Linked DNA regions of Struthio camelus. The protein of the gene in region 1 interacts with the protein of each later gene in a biochemical or structural test. Links are inferred from orthologs where the notes say so. Each region holds a gene or a part of one and is shown on either strand. Other genes may lie near its edges.

What was found.
Region 2: the proteins of CREBBP (region 1) and SUMO1 form a complex in vitro, tested with the Homo sapiens proteins (2 studies listed by BioGRID, with this or other methods). The link is inferred for Struthio camelus from reciprocal best matches to the Homo sapiens genes CREBBP and SUMO1.

The regions. Positions count from the first base shown.
Region 1 is NC_090956.1:18,496,002-18,503,581, reverse strand, and holds the start of CREBBP (CREB-binding protein), read right to left. Parts: upstream 3,203-7,580; 5' UTR 3,062-3,202; coding exon 2,977-3,061; intron 1-2,976. UniProt on the Homo sapiens protein: Acetylates histones, giving a specific tag for transcriptional activation. Mediates acetylation of histone H3 at 'Lys-18' and 'Lys-27' (H3K18ac and H3K27ac, respectively).
Region 2 is NC_090947.1:9,967,912-9,976,222, reverse strand, and holds the start of SUMO1 (small ubiquitin-related modifier 1), read right to left. Parts: upstream 3,005-8,311; 5' UTR 2,831-3,004; coding exon 2,819-2,830; intron 1-2,818. Other genes in the region: NOP58 (nucleolar protein 58), read left to right, coding at 5,599-5,673. UniProt on the Homo sapiens protein: Ubiquitin-like protein that can be covalently attached to proteins as a monomer or a lysine-linked polymer.

The sequences.
Region 1 (7,580 bases):
GGCACCCGACGGACGCGAGCTTTGCTGCTGCTTGATCCAAAAACATCTTTCACAATCTGTGCTCAGAGCTCAAAGCAGGACCAGCTCAAGAACTTTGCTGGCGTTGCTCGTTTGGCAGGATACCGTGAACTGGCAGGATATACAAAGTAATCACGACGCTCAATGTTAAAATAATACTCTGCAATAACTGAAGTTACTATAATTCTACTTTTCATATTAGTCTCTGGTTTATTCTAAAGCAACCCAGATGAGAACGCCTCATAAGATTTAAACGAGGTACAAATGCTTAGTGAAGAAAACTAGTGGGTATCTAATAAAGTAGCCATTAGACAAAAGGGCTAATCTACCTGGCTACATACGGGAAAATCTCGCCCGTGAATATTCTTATCATATTAGCCAGCTTGTTGAATACTGAACGGCAACGGCCAGCGGAGCCGGTAGCCATGGGTCTTCATCAGCATACTTCATTGACAGAAGCAGATTTCAGAGTTGCCCTGGTGCTAACTGTTACGACACCTTATGATATACATAGTATACGTTTCTGCTATCCTTTTCTCTACTCCCTTCTCTTAGATCAGAGATTTGATTTAGCTATTTAACAGGAAAGGTCATATTTTCAGAACGTAAGCAAGCCAGTTTAAATTGCACAAACTTAGCTACAGTAGGCTAAGAAGCTATTTTTACCAGAAAGATTAAAGGGAACTAACATTTACCCTGACAAAAGGAATTGCTCAAGATCACCGCATCAAAGCATCAAGTGAAATATAAACAAGAGCGAGCAGCTGCATTCTGCTGAAAATTCAGGCCTGCCACCAGACCCTTCACCAGCACACCACTATACTCATTTCTAAGCATTGGCAGGATTGATGCCTCGTTATTCAGCAACAAAACTACACAACTGGGCCTAACACGATGTCTTTTAAAGCATGTCCCAATCACGCAAGCCGCGGCATCAAACAGCTGGGGTTTATGACTGCAATTACAATTCAGTTATCCAGGACACAACTTACAGCTTGTTAAGTAAGGGCACGAATCTCAAAACTATCTACCCAAATCTCTCTGATTTAAAATAAATAAAGAGCCTTCCATGTTGCAACGACTTTTTTATTTAAGCCTCAGTGCAAGAGAGCAGCCTGCTTTAGGTTCAGGACCAGGGATTTGATAGAAATCACTACTCAAACTATTTGTATTGCCTACTACAACACATAGAAGAGTTCAGCAATCTTTCAACAAGTAGTATTAGCTGCTGGCAACAAATCTTAAAAAAGAAAAAAAAAAGAAAAAGAAAGCAAATTGAGAAAAGCACTTTTAAGCACACAAACATCGCTTGCACCCTCAAAGAGATGCTTCCCCTCCCCGAAGAACACTAGGATCACAACAGAACACAACCGAAATACTCCTATTTGTCAAAAACACAACCTGAGGTTTTCTGTCCTTGGTGACCAAAGGTCCTCTCAGCTGCGCAAAACTTTATGCAGATACTCAAGTTTACATTTCTAGTGCTCCACAGAGCTCACCAAGACGCATTAGAACTTGCTGAACAGGACGTAATTATGACTGAAGCGTTCCAGAACAGACCAAGGCAACGGGGAGGGGGGGGAAATAAAAGAGAGAGAAAAACCTGCTTCAAAGATCCTTTCCTGGCTACCAGTAGCCTCTAACGTGTCTATTTGGGCAATTAAAGAAAAACTGTGTTTTTCTGAGTTACTGCGGTGCATTTCACAGCACCTTCTGCATCAGCCTTCACTATGATATTCAGTCACTTCCACAAAAAGGGATTAAAGTAGTTCAGTCACAAGACCTCACCCAGGTATTCTCTACCCATTCTTAGTCTCAATATTGCTTCTTTTTGGTATGTTTCATTTCTTTGCAGTTTGGGAAGAAAAAGATTCCATTAAAAAAAAAAAAAAAACCCAAACCCACAGACCTATCTATAAAACTACTGCCAAACGCAGACTGAGCAAACTTAAAAAAAAAAAACCCACAGAGTTTATCAGCTCCATTACGGTAATAATTTTTTCAGTCTATAGAAACATAGCAGGCATAGCGTGATTAACTTATCACTGTCCCTTAAACGAGATTCATTAATCTCCGAGAACCGAAAGACCCGTCAAACATATCACTTGTTCCTATGCGGCCCCCGTGTTGAACACTCGGGACACTTACAGAAGTAAGTGCACGCACGCCTGCGTTTCTGCACACGTGCGTATTTCCAACGGGCAGGCGATTACTGGAAACGATCGTTTTGATGCATTTTATTATCCACACCCCCCACGACGATTTAAAAAAAAAAAAAATAAAAAAAGGAGAGAAAGAGAGAGGCGCGCACCGAAGACTGCACGACACCCGGCCAAGCCGCAGCCGCCCCGAGCCCGCCGGCCGTGTCGTCACGGAAGAAACCCCACAACTTCAGCGCTGCGAATTTTTCGACACAAAAACGCTGGGCGCGGGCTGGGCCCCCACCGGCGGCCGCGCAACCCGGCGCGCAGCCGGAGCAGCCTCTCGGCAGCCCTCGCTCCGCCGCTTTCCAGGAGCACCGACCCCCCCCACCGCCGCCGCCGCCCGCCCCGCCCCGCCCCGCGGAGGCAGCGCGGGCCGCGCACCCAGGCGGCTCCCTCCGCCCGGCCCCGCCGCCGGCCCGGCCCGGCTCCCCGAGCGCCGCGGCCAGGCCGCCGCTATTTATAGCCGCGCGGCCGGGACGGGAACAACCGCGCGGCTCCCGCCCGGTAACTTCGGCCGCGGGAGGCCCGGCCGCGCCGGCAGACGGCTGCGGGGCGCCCGCCCCGGCCGCGCCTCCCCGCCAGGCCGCGTCCCACCCCCGCCGCTCGGTGAAGCCGCGGGGAGGCCGCTCCCCCCCCCCCCCCCCGCCCCGGGTAAGCGGCCCGGCCCGCTGATGGGCCGCCGCCGGATGGCCGGGCCCGGCCGCCGCCTCCGTCCCTCCGCCCGGCCGCCCCCGCGCCGCCCCGCGGCCCTCACCTGTGCTGTCGCTGGCGGAGAAGCCCGGCGAGTTGAGCTTGGCTCGCTTGGGGTTGGGCGGCCCGTCGAGTAAGTTCTCCGCCATGGTAGCCGGCTCGGCCGTGGCAGCCCCGCCGGGGCCCGCCGCGCTCCCGGGATCGGCGGGCAGCCGCCGCCGCCGCCGGAGAGGAGAGGAGGAGAGGCGCCCCGCTCCGCTCCGCTCCGCACGGGAGCCGCGGCCGAGCAACAGCGCCGCTCAGTGCCCGGCCGGCGGCGGCCCCCGCTCCCCCATGCCCGGGCCGGGCCGCCGCCGCAGCAGGCCGCAGGGAGGAGGGCTCGGGGCGGGGTGGGGAGAGCCCAGCGCCCCCTCCCTGCCGGCCTCGCTCCTCCCGGCCGCTCCCCCGCCCTGCCGCCGCTGCCGCTGCCGCCGCCGCCGCCGAGGAGGTGCCCGGATGGCGGCTCAGTCAGTCACTCGGGGAGCATAGCGCCCCCCCACCCGCTCCTCCTCGCCCCGTCCCCTCCCCTGCGAGCGGGGGGCTCGCCGCGGCCCCGCTGCCGCCCCCGCCCGCCGCCCCCACCCCCGCCGCCCGCCCGCGGCGAGCCGCGGCCAACGGGGGCCGAAAAAATAAAGCCCCAAAACAATGAGGGCGGCGCGGCGGCGGCCGCCGCGGCTCCCGGTCCCGGTCCCGGCGGCGGCGCCCGGCTGGCCCCGGCCGGCGCTGCCCCGCTGCCCCGAGCCCCTGTGCCCGTCGGCGGCGCTCCGCGCGGCTGCCCGTGCCCCGGCGGGCGGCCCCGCTGCCCCGGCCCGGCCCGGCCCGGCCCCGCTCCGCTCGCGCCGCGCTCCGGCTCCGCGACAAGATGGCGGCTGTTGATTCCTCAATTAAAAAAAAAAGTTTTTTTTTCTCTTCTCTTTTCCAGAGACCATGGGGGCGGGACCGGGGCGGGGCCTGCGCCCTGCGTCACCGCGCACGGGCCCCGCCCCCCGCCCCCGCCGCCGCCGGAAAGGCGCGAGCGGCGCCGGAAAGAGCCGAGCTCGTCCTCAGTTGCTCCGCGGCGCGTTGCCCAGGGTTGGGGGGTGGGGGGGGGAACGGCCCGCGCGAGGCCCGGCGGGGCCCCCGCCCCCCTCCCCGTCCTCCCGCCCCCCCCCGTCGCTGTCGCCTCTCAGCGCCCCGCAGCTGCCCCTCGGCCGCGGCTGAGGCCCGGGCCCCCTTGCCCAGGCGGCCAGCGCTGGGTTCAGGCGGGGACGGGGACGAGAGGGGCCTTCAGGCGATGCCGGCCTGTCCCCCCTGCCCCTGGCTGCCCGTCGCCCCCCGCGCTGGCTCGCTGAGCGCCCAGACGCCCTCCGCCCGCTCCTGTCGCGTGTGGCCTCGCTGCCAGCGGGCTCCTGCCTTCGCCCCCTGCTCCTGGCTCTGCCCGCGCCTGCCGCCTCTCAGCCCGCCCCGGCCCGCGTGGCTCGGGGCCGCGCGCCCTGCCGAAACGCCTGCCCGGTTATCCCCGCCGAGCCCCCGAGCTGCCTCGCAGCCCGCCCGAAGGGCTTCCCCCCGCTGCGCGCGCCCTTAGGCCCCTCGCTGCTGCTGAGGGCGTCCGCCACCGCCCCGCAGCCGTACGCGAGGGCAGGGGCCGCGCGCCGGCCCACGGGGACGCCCACGGCCGGACCCGGTCGCTGCTAGCTCAGCTCAGGCACCAGGACCCAACCTAACGGCCGGTGGGCTCGGGGCGCCGGGCACCCGCTCCGACCGCTTGCTTCCAGCCGTGCCTCCGCTCTGACTAGACAAACCTCCCTGGCTGAAACAGGTTTGTAAGGCTGGAGCTCGTGTACTTCAGTTGGTTTCCGTACTGGTTCCTAACCTGAGAAGAAGGTCGTTCTATAAGCCCAGGCGACGTGCCATAGCAGCAAAGCGTCTCGTACCCAAACTAGTTGCTCAGGGCTGTTTTCATCGCTTATTGCTGTATGTCGACATATCCCTTAAGAGCAGTCCTAACTGGAGGACAGGCGGGAGAAAGGAGCTGAGGCGATCCTGCGGTGTGTGCATAAAGTCCATAAGCTGAGATGGATTAAACAGCAATCTTTTATTTTTTGAAAGGAGATCTATAATGACACCTTCTTTTGCAAACAGAAAGCCTTGTCTTTTGTTTACTGCTACCTCATACTCATTACATTTACTTCTATATTTACATGCATTTCGTTACGTTTACTTGCAAATTCTATATTTATTTACATGGCGCCTGCTCTTGTAGAGGCCTGGCAGTAACCAGCTCTGTTTCTATCAGTCTATTACTCATTTCTTAAACAAGTGCGGGGGCTCTCTGGTTATGTCTGCCTTTCGGACGTCTCCTTAAAAAGCAGAGAGTTCTTGTACGTTTTAGGGTAGTCCAGTGTGAGGCAGGGCTTCAGCTCCAGGTACGAGTCCCAGTTCTGAACGGGTACCTGCAGCTGGAGCTCATTTGGGTGGGAAGTCCATATCGGTTAGGTGAGGCTCCAGCTGCTTAAACACCATTGCTACAGATGTTTATGAGCCTTCTCTGCAGTAGTGTGACAGGCCACTAACCCCTTGGCTTCAGGTCTTATCTACTGCTTGAGATGTTTCAAGACTGGGAGCAGTAAAATGTGTATTTTAAAAATGAGGGCAATGCAATGATAGAGGGGCACTGTTTCTCTCACATGGGTAGGGCATCTAAAACACAGAAGTGAGGATCTGCAACAGCTTCTCATTGTAATACAAGGTGTTTGCCCCAGTTTAGGCTGAGGGAAGATGTGTTTCTGCTGCACGTGGAGAAACGGAAATCAGGTCAGCTCGTCTGTCAGCCACAACAGAGGACAGCAGTGCCCTTTGCTACCTGCTACTTGCATTTTTCAAGAAGGTCAGTCAGCGAGTTTTGAACCGTAGCTTTTGGATAACTTTATGCTCTTACCTTGCCCGTTACATCGTGTATGGTCTTGAAAATAAAGGATTTGCTGGAGTGGCTGGCATCAGCAGATGCCCGTAGCCTTTCGCTTCCCTTATGACCCCCTTCTGTGCTGCTGCGATGACACTAGAGCTCTGGCATGGAGTCAGGATGGGGATCTCCTGCCAGGAACAGAACCTAAGTGGTCCCACAGCTACCACTTAGCTCCAGGAAGATGTTTGATAGACCATATGCTGAAGTTCCACCAGTATTGCAGTTCTGATCACACAACTAGCAAGCAAGAGGACCATGACACCGCCACTGAACCTGTCACGGTAGCTTGTGTACCAGCCTGCTTGGCCCTGCCTGGCCCTGGTGTGCCTCTGCCCTGCCAGAACAATGCTGCATGCTCAGTGTTGGGAATGGGGATGGGGAGCAGATGGAAGTAGGCCACTCTTCCTCTCCCTCTAGCTGGAAGAGCTCTTCTATCTTTACAGCAAAGTGCCAGGCCAAATGAGACTTGCCACGTAGGTAAAATCAGAGGGGAGCTGCGAGTCCCGGAAACCAGAGGGGGAGAGGAAGGAGGTGGTTTGGAGGGAAGGAACCCTGCACACCAGGGCAGCAGGAGAGGAAGAGGAAATCCTAATGCTACTGCGTATTGCAGCTTCTCCATGGCATGATGTCCCCTTAGGATGGCCCTAGTCATCCCCCTGCCATGGGATCAGAACAGCATGGGGATATTGGCAGGAGCGGGGGGAAGACCTTGACCCTTACTTGCCCAAAAGGCTTAATAGTACTGCAGTGCTCAGGATACCATAGCCCTTTGTTTGTGTCAGTCCTGCAAGACTCAGGTGGCCTCACCGTAATGCCAAGCACAGTGAGCTACAACTGGAATAGGATGATTTTGTGAGAAGGAAGGAGACTGTCTGGGAGATATTACACAGCAAGCAGATGAACCCCAGTCCTGCAAACTTGTGCCCCGGATTCCCAGTCCTGGCCCCCACCGTACCTTGTGCATAAAAGCACAGCTCCCCCTCTCCCCCGAGCTGACAATTTAAGCACGTGCATGGATTCCTGGGGACTTTATCTGTGGTGCTCAGGAGTCACTGTGAATGCAGGTGCTTAATGGATAACCCCTTTATTCGGGGGTTATATTACGTCCAAGAGAAATTGCATAATAAAACCTGCACTGCTGCAGCCCATTTCCAGACTCCCTGTCTCCAGAATTAAGCTTCTTAAAGATACAGCTCCCAAGAGCCTATCTTCCTTCCCCAGCCAAAGCATGGAAGTATCATTTCTGTAGCGTGCGACCTCAGATCCTCACAGCCAAACAATTAACAGTGTTTGAACAACTTCTGAGGAGCTCTGCACTGTAACTTGCAGGTCACCATGGCATCATCAGAACAGTTCTCACTGGGAACTGCCATTTTTCCTGGCAACGTTATGTCCCAGAGTTTGGTTGCCTAACCTGCTGGTTTTGCTGCGAAATTAAGCTGTCCCAGGCAAAAAGACAAGCCTGGTGTCCGTTATCTTCTCTCCTCCTGGTTGCTGGAGAAGGTGCTGCCTATTCTTCTTCCAAGTATGTCTGGTTAGACACACCCTGCACTCATGGGACTGTGGAGCAACTTTATGTGACATAACTGTTGTTTCTGGCTTCTGATTTTCAATGTATGTGTGAATTCTTCTTGTGTTCAGGAAGTGGTAGTAACCCCTGGGACCACAGTCATGCTGCTGTTTTG
Region 2 (8,311 bases), on another chromosome or scaffold:
TGCAGAAGAGATTCAGATCTCTACAAATCCAAACTCTAACTTTTATAACTGCCTCCTGTTTTGCTGTTGCCCAAGGAATTTATCAGAACATCCCATCTCTTCACATGAAATTTCAAGTCAGTATCTTATTCTGCTTTGCATAAGAATTAAACTGCATACCAGCGTATTGTCCCAGCAGTAAAGGGCTTCATAGCAGTTTATCCAGTTCTGTGCATTATAGCAGATCTACCTCTTATAGCTTTCCGTAACAAATCACTCTGTACAAGGTATGACAAATCATCATTGCTACTATAACAGCACCTCTAGCCAATATGAGTGGAAAGCAATGATTCATAATGTTTGATTCCTACCCTTGGGGACAGAGAACTCACGTACTAGACACCAATAGGGAAAGGAGCAAACAGTAGAAAGTAGAGGCTTAAAACATCAGCCTACCATAAAGGTGCATGTTTAAAGCCCCAACAACCCCTCGTCCATGAAAAAAAAAAACGCAAAGAGTAGAGCTGGAATTTCAGGAAAAAAAGAAATAGGATCAAATCAGCATTGAAAAAGCCAGTAATGGTAGTTAAAAAAAGCAGAAGATTTGAAAACAGAATACAACAAGACTCAGCAAGTCTAAAACAGCTCCCTGCATTTTGTCAGTGCTAACTATACTGCCATTCAATGCCAAATAGAAAAGCCAGCAGAAAAATACTTAAGAACAAAGGAAGCAAGTAGATTGCAAAGTTACTAAATTACGAGCATCCATTAACAAAATCCATGATCCACAAGCAAACATCCAGATTTTTAGTTGAACTGCTAAAGAAATGGTTACATCAAAAAAACCCAAACACCACAACACCCCAAGTTTAACTTTTCACTAGACTCCTAAATTTCTAAAGGCTTCATTCCACAGTTTTCCTAAATAGCACAAAATAAGGTCCCTAATACTGTCTCAATTATATTAACACCGCATTCATGACTGCAAAGCACTCAAAGTTCCCTGGATGAAATGCAACCCAGCGTGCCAGGTATTTGCTATTGCCACTAATGGAACCACAAAATAAACATTGTAAGGCAACTTATTGCAAATTCCCTCCAACAACAAACTGTATCTACTATTATTCTGAAGCATTCCAACTTCACTATCCAAGCCTAAAAAAGGCCCTGCTCAGCATACTTGAGACCATCTTTTGGCATCAAAATTGCAAGAGGAGGAAGATTACACTGTGCATCCCCAGCTCAGCAAACAAACTCTTACATTTGTGACAGGAATAGGAAAGTATGTACAATTGTGCCACAGCATTTCCTATCCACAGTACACAAAGAGATAAAAATGCTTTCATCTAGATGGAATGAGAATAAGAACAGCCTGAGACTTCGGGGGGGGGGGGGTTACTTCTCTTTTTCCCCTTCTGCTGCGATCCCACCAAGCAGCCACGTGGTTCTAAGAAGTTTACCCTTGTTGCTACAGTTTTTTTTTTTTAAATCGAGTAAGTTAGTTTGTAATTGAGAATAAAGAAACTAAACCAACTATGCATCTTTATCTACATAACAAGAAAAAAGAGCTAGAATTATAACTACTGACAGAGATCATCCTCTTAACATCTTGATTCCAGGACCAAGAAGGAGGCTATTGTAAACAACCTACAACTTCAGGCAACCTGATTATTCCAGTAGCATTGATAAAGAGAGAAATGAGATCTATGGTTAGGCGATATTCACTTTATGTTATACTGTTACTTGTACATCTGTTTAGGTCTTGTTACACAGTCCCTCTACCCCAGCAGTCAATGCCAAAACATATGATAATGTTTAGCACAGGCATTTCCAAAGGAAAAAAAAAAAAGAAAAATAGGGCCCTTATCCAATGCACCTTCTGGGATATGTGCCTCTAAGACACATATCCAATAAAGGCTTTCACATACAATGAATTTTACATACTTCAAGCAGTCCCAAAGAAGAATGAACATGCATACACCTTAGCAGGACTGGACTGGAGAAGGAATTACTTAATGAATGCTGTTATGTGTTAAAACGTGCCTCATCAGTTCACAAACATGAGCGACAGAACAGGCCACATAAAGAGCAGTCCACAGAATCTCGTTCATAATTTGATTTTTTTTTTTTCTTCCTTTTCTGCAGACACTCGCCTGCCTGTTACCGCACTGGAAACGCGTCCTGATGAGAGCTAGCGCTCGCCGCGCTCTCGCAGGCAGAGCCAGGCAGTAACACCACCAAGAGTTTCATTGTGCTCCAAAGTCGGGGGGGGGGGGGGGGGGGCACGGACCCAGCTCACACAGCAGTGACTTCTGTTCGCGGGTCACAAGGTGCCAAGGCTACTCCTCAACGGGGGCAACAGCATATCCTAAGATTTACCGTGGTTTCGGAATAATTTTTCAGTTCATGACTTGCATTAATACTACCCTTGGCTTCCCGGCACGGCAGGAAACATTCGCCGGCGCTGCCGTTGATTTCCCCCGAAGTCAAACCGCCGTGACAAAGCTGTCACTTGGGGGGGGGGGAGGGGGGCAACGCGTGAAATAAGGGCACGGCGGGGAACAAAACCACCCTGCCGTGCCGCGTTAACTCCCGGCCGGCCGACAGCTCACGCCGCCGAGCGCGGAGGGCTGCGCGCCGCAACGCCCGGCGAGCCATCCCGCCCCGGCAGAGCGACCTGCCTCACGGCCGGGACAGCGAAAACGAAAGGAAAGGGCCTCGGCGCCGCGCCGAGCCGCCCCGGGCCGGGCCGCTCCGCGCCCTCGGGGCTGGCGAGCAGAGCCCGGCCGAGGCGCAGGCCGGGCCGCCCGCCTCCCCCCCCCCCCAGCCCCGCCGGTACCTGGTCAGACATGGCTTCGCCCCCTCGCGTGCGGCAGGCTCGGCTGGGCCGCGGCAGGCGCTCCGCTCCCTTTCTCTCCGCCGCAGCACAAACACAGGCCGCGGCGCGGGCGGGATTTCCTGTGCGCCTGAGATCACTTCCCGCCCGGCCCGGCCCGCTGCCGCCGCCGCCGCGGCTCCTCCCCGCCCAGCCCCGGGCCGGGCCCTCGGCGCGCCCAGCCCCGGCCGCCGCCCGCCGCCGCCGCCCGCCAGAACCTTCTGGAAGCCGGGGCCGGACGGGCCGCGCGCCTCGCTCTGCGCCGCCGGCGAGGAGGGCCAGCGCCGGGGGGGGGTCGGGAAGCGCCCCGAAATTCTGCGAGTTTCCGTGGATTTCTGAAAAACTCAGTGAATTTCTAACCCACCCTACTTGTGTTCCCCCCCCAGCAGGGGATTCTCGTCCTGATTCCCCCCAGAGAAGGTTTTAACTCCAGTCAAGGAGAGGCAGAAGCGTTTCCAGGCGCGAAGGGCCCACCAGCGCCACCGGGGCTAACGAAGCCGACCCGTCGGGGAACGCACGCGGCCATCGCACCAGGCAGGCCTGCAGCGGCCAACCGAGCCGCACAGAATTAACGGGGGAGAAGGCGTTAAATAAAACGGGGCGACGCACTCCGCGGAGCCAGGTGACGAAGGGGAAGATGACCTCCTCCTCGTCACCAGGTCAAGAGCACTGCAGGAACCACCACCGAGAACCATTCGCAGCCTTGGAGCAACCCAAGAGGTGAACAGTGGAGATGACAAACACTTGATCCTATTGCAAACGCCACTGCTAGCAGTAAACAAAAGGACAGGTTTAAAAGCAGGGAGGTTAGCCCCACGGATAGAAGGTGACAGTTTTAAAGTTCTAGCATAAAATCTGAATGCAATTCCTAGTTGTACCCCTTTTCCTATGCATTCTATAATAAGAGTAACATGCAAATCACCAGTTATCCCTCTTCCCCATGCATAGCACACACAGTTGAAATTTAAATACCACTATTAAAACTTAATAACAATACCCCTCTTTATACACTTTTTATTCACTTCGGTTACAGATATGTATGTGCTCAGGGTACAAGCTATATTTGCACAGCACCTCCCTAGCAGCTAGTCTCAATTCAACCTATAAGGGTTACAAAAGTCACACGTTTCTTCTGTTACAGCCCAAACCCAACATGCAGCACCCTTAAAGCCCAACAAAAACATGCTTTTAAAAGACTAAATATACATACATGAGCTTCTTCCTACAGAACTCAAAGTAGCCCTTGCTGCTACAGCTGATGTTGAGACTACTTTACATCCACTAATAACTTTGTTTAATCCTCAGGTATTTTATAACTTCTCTAATTTCCCCATCTGCAACTAATCTCAATCACCTGAAGTTAATAAATTTCACCTCCGTTCATTCAGCTTGCTGCTAATTAACTTGACCAATGTTGTGTGGAAAGCAGAGGAGCTGTTAGTGTTTTTCTGGACAGCGTTAGCCTACCTAGCCTGCACAAAGCCTCTTCAGCCTGCAGATAGTTTTCCTACAAAACAGGGCTTTAACCTGAGAACAATCCATAATCTCGTAACACTAGTGTATTTGTTCGAGAGCAGCTAGTGCTAGCAGTAAGTATTAATATGCCTTATTAAAAGGAAGAAGGTAAATCATGTTTAATCTATAATTTGTTCTTTGGGACAGTAACCCCTGGACGCGCTGGAGGGCGCAGTGCGACGAGGCGGCAGGCGGCAGGGCCGGGCTGAGCTGCGGCTTCCCCGGAAACACCGGATCCTGGGCAGGCAGCACCGCGCGGGGAAATCGGGAGCCTCGAAACGCCTGTTGTAAATGCAGCGAGTTTGGCGTTCCGTTGTCAGAAGGGAGCAGCTGTCGGACGCCCGCAGCGGCACCGAGCTCTGAGCGCCTCCCCCCTTCTCCTCGGCCTAGGCGGAGGGCGGGCAAGCGCCGCACGCAGCCGCCGCGTCCACACCGGGGACTGGGCTGGTTTAACTCTGCTCGCAGAGGAAAGCGCGCGTTCACGAAGGCAGACCGCAGCCCTATGCCGACGTGCGCGCAGACGAGGCTGGGGAACGAGGCTCTGTTTACGGCGGAGCGGCAGCCTGGCCGGGAACGCGCCCAGACCTGTCTCCCACCCAGGGGACATATTTCTGCTGTTTCCGTGCGCCTTTTTTCCCCCGCCTCGGTCAGCGCAGGGAGCGGACACCGACGGTGTGCGGCTCCGTTCCGGCCGACGGCCCGCAGGACCCAGCAGCGCCGGCGCGGGGGGCGGCCCGCGGCCCCGCCCCTTCCCCTCCCGTGACATAACTTCCGCTGTGGCTACTTCCCGTTCCGGCGCGCGCGTGTGCTGGGCTGAGGGCTGCCGTCCGCTCGCCCACGTGGCCGCGCGCGCCCTCCCCACCCCCCCGTGAGCGGCCGTTGGCCCCCGCTCCGGCCGTTGGCGCCGCCGCCGCCATGTTGGTGCTGTTCGAGACCGCCGCTGGCTACGCCATCTTCAAGGTGAGGCGCGGGGGGGGGGGGCTGCGGGCCGCCGGGGGTCCGCGCCTCGCTCGGCCCGAGGCCTTGCCCGGGGGGCCTGACCCGCTCGCGGGGGCGGCCGAGCCCCCGAGCTGCGGCGCTTCGGTAGCGGTCCGCGGTGTGGCGTGGCGGGAAGTGCCCGCCCGGCTCAGGGCCCGGAAGGCTGCTCTTTTCGCAACACTTTCGTCTTAAAACGCCGCTCGGGGTTTGTGGCGCTGGGCTGATCACCGCCAAGGGGAAAAAAACGAGTTATGTGGACCGTGTTCGGGGAGGAGTGGGTTGCCGTCCTGTCTGCGGAGCGCTGTGTGGTGTGTTTCCGGCGGAGGGTAAGTTAACGGAAAGGAGTTGTGAGAGTTGCAACAGAAGTAAGATAGCTTTAGGTATTGTAATTAACTTGTGGCGGAAACGTCAACGGGGAAGGAGTGTGCTCAAGTCAAATGGTTTTTCAAAAAGTCACTTTACACGTCAGCCTTGTTTGGTTTCCTTGTGACATACACAGTAGGAGAAGGAGGGAGGTGAGACATGAAGCTGAAGAGTGAGTGCTGTAAAGAGGATCTCGGGTAAGAAGGAGAGGCACAGCGCGGGGAAAGATGGCTGCAGTTGTAGTAGTGTCCTGGAAATGCAAAGCCTAAAGGCACTTGAGAGGGAGAGCTTTCTCCATGGTCCCATCAGGGATTGCACATGGCTGTTTCTTTTTCTTCCACCAGTGAGAACAGATTTGGTGGGAGAGAAGGTACCTGTCTTTGTGCCCTCCTTGAAATCTCTGGAGACATCCTGTCCTGGGGAAAAGCATCTTAAGTGCTTTCCCTTATTTCTACTGAACTCATTTTGCTCACAGGCTAACAGCACCTCCTGGTTGTAAGGAGAGGTGCATGGGAGCCATGCAGCATGCTAAGCAAATCTGCAGGGTGCCTTGACCTGCGTGTGTTTCTGTCAGCTCTTTGGCAGACTCAGCACATGGGCCAGATGAGCTGGCATCAGCTGCCCACAGGTGTAGCACATGCTCTGCCTTTCTTGCTGTGTTGAGAACATGGGGCTAGGAGGAACAGACCACAAGTCTCTGGCAAGCTCCTGATGTGTTGGTTCAGAGGTTGCAGCTCCATGATGGTTTAAATGAGTTGCTAGAGCTGCTTTGGTGCTGTGTGCCCCATCATCTGTCTTTTCTCTTGCTTTGGATGTTGATGCTTGTACAGTCTCATGATGAGATTGTTCATGGAGTTTGATGACAGCACTTGCTTTATTTCAACCTAGCTTAGTCTTTTTTGGGTTTGGCTTGTGCAAACACCAGTGCAGATACAAGGAGAGCAAGGCACTAGTTTATTTTACCCTAACTTATAGAACTGCATCGTTGGGGCTCTACAGAGCCCTATGGTTCCTTGGTCTACCCTGAAACCTTTCCTCCTCTTTGAGGTGTAGCTGCGCAGTTCAGGCAAAGAGGGTTTTTAAGACTAATCCTCATGTAAAAATGTATCTAAAAGCATATTACTTCCATTTTCATTCCTGCTTGCAACTGGGGAACTAAAGTATATCACTGTCTCCCTGGAGGTTTAGATCAGTGGCTGTTCACACTAGCTAATATACTGCACCTTCTGAGTTTCTTTTAAAAAAAAAAAAGAGGGAGAGAGAGAAGGCAGTATTTCCAGGTAGGGTTGAACCTCTTGTGCTGGGAGCCAAGCCCTCTTTTAATCTTCTACAGAAACCAGGAAGGGCTGAAAATAGCACGTTTGAATCCCTGAAACCAGGATAGATATAAAGCAAAAGTAGGAGGAGGAGCATAAAGAGAAATGAAGAAGTTTCTTTGCAGGAGTGCTGCAACACTCAGTTGCAGGTGTCAACAGCTGGGATTTGGGGTCTGGCTGTGATGTGTATGCGAAGCGGCTAGAGGGCACTAGGCACCAAGAAGCAGTGTTTAAATGTGGTCTTCTAAACGCCTACCTCATGGGCAAGAGAGGAGCGCGAAGGACGTCTGGGGTGGAAGCTGTTTGTTGGAAGTGAGCATAAATAATATTTTAGTAAATCTTGTGTTTTGAGACAAGCTATTGTTTTCTGTCTTGGTTCAGTTTGCAGCTACCCATGCCAGAGAGAGTCCCTGCCACAGTGTGTATCTGCTAGGTAGGGAGGGCTCTCAATCACATGGCTTTGCGTTCCCAGGCACAGTAGCTGTTTGGTTACAAACTTGCGTGGTCCTTATACTTGTTTATTCATTCTGTAGCAAAGTATTCTCTGTGCAATTTAGTGGGGTGGTTTTTGGTTTTTTTGGTTGGTTTGTTTTGGTAGCCTTTAAAGATGGCCATTGGTGCTTTCCCCCCCCCCCCCCTTAAGTATCTTGAGGGTTGGGCAGAATTTGGGCTTCTGAATTTTGGGAAGCAGTCATGGACACCCGCTCCCCTTTTCAGCAGTGTCCATAGCCAACGTAACTGCTCTGCCTTAATCCTATGCTGATCAAGAGCCCCCCCTGCAAGCTGGGGAGCTCTTGGGTAGTCCCTGGTGGGTGTTGGTCCCATTAAAGAAGAACAAGCAGAATTCAGAAAGTAAGGGCAAACAGCATAAACATATTCCAGATCTTGGAAGACTTTTTCCAGTGAATCTTACTGTCTTGTAGGACACGCGCTATCCATAGGCAACCATAACTTCTCTACATCAACAACCTCTGTTTTGGTGACTTCTGTCTCTGCCAGTGTCTGTTTATGGAGACTGAAAGTTCTGTCTGCCTCGGGATAAGAAGGATGAACTAGAACAAAGAATCAATACACCGAGGAAAGGAAGAGGTGTCCCAAGCGTTTTCTGTGCCTCAGAGTCCTGTTGGAAATGAGTTATTGTGTTTGTTTGCTCAACTGCTAATTCAGTTTGAAAAAGACACAGTCCTTTGACCTGGGTTTAAAAATCTGCAAGGAAGCAAAGTCTCATAATCCCTAGAACGATTTCAGTACTGCGCTGAGTCCCATTGCAGTTGCTTTGGATTTA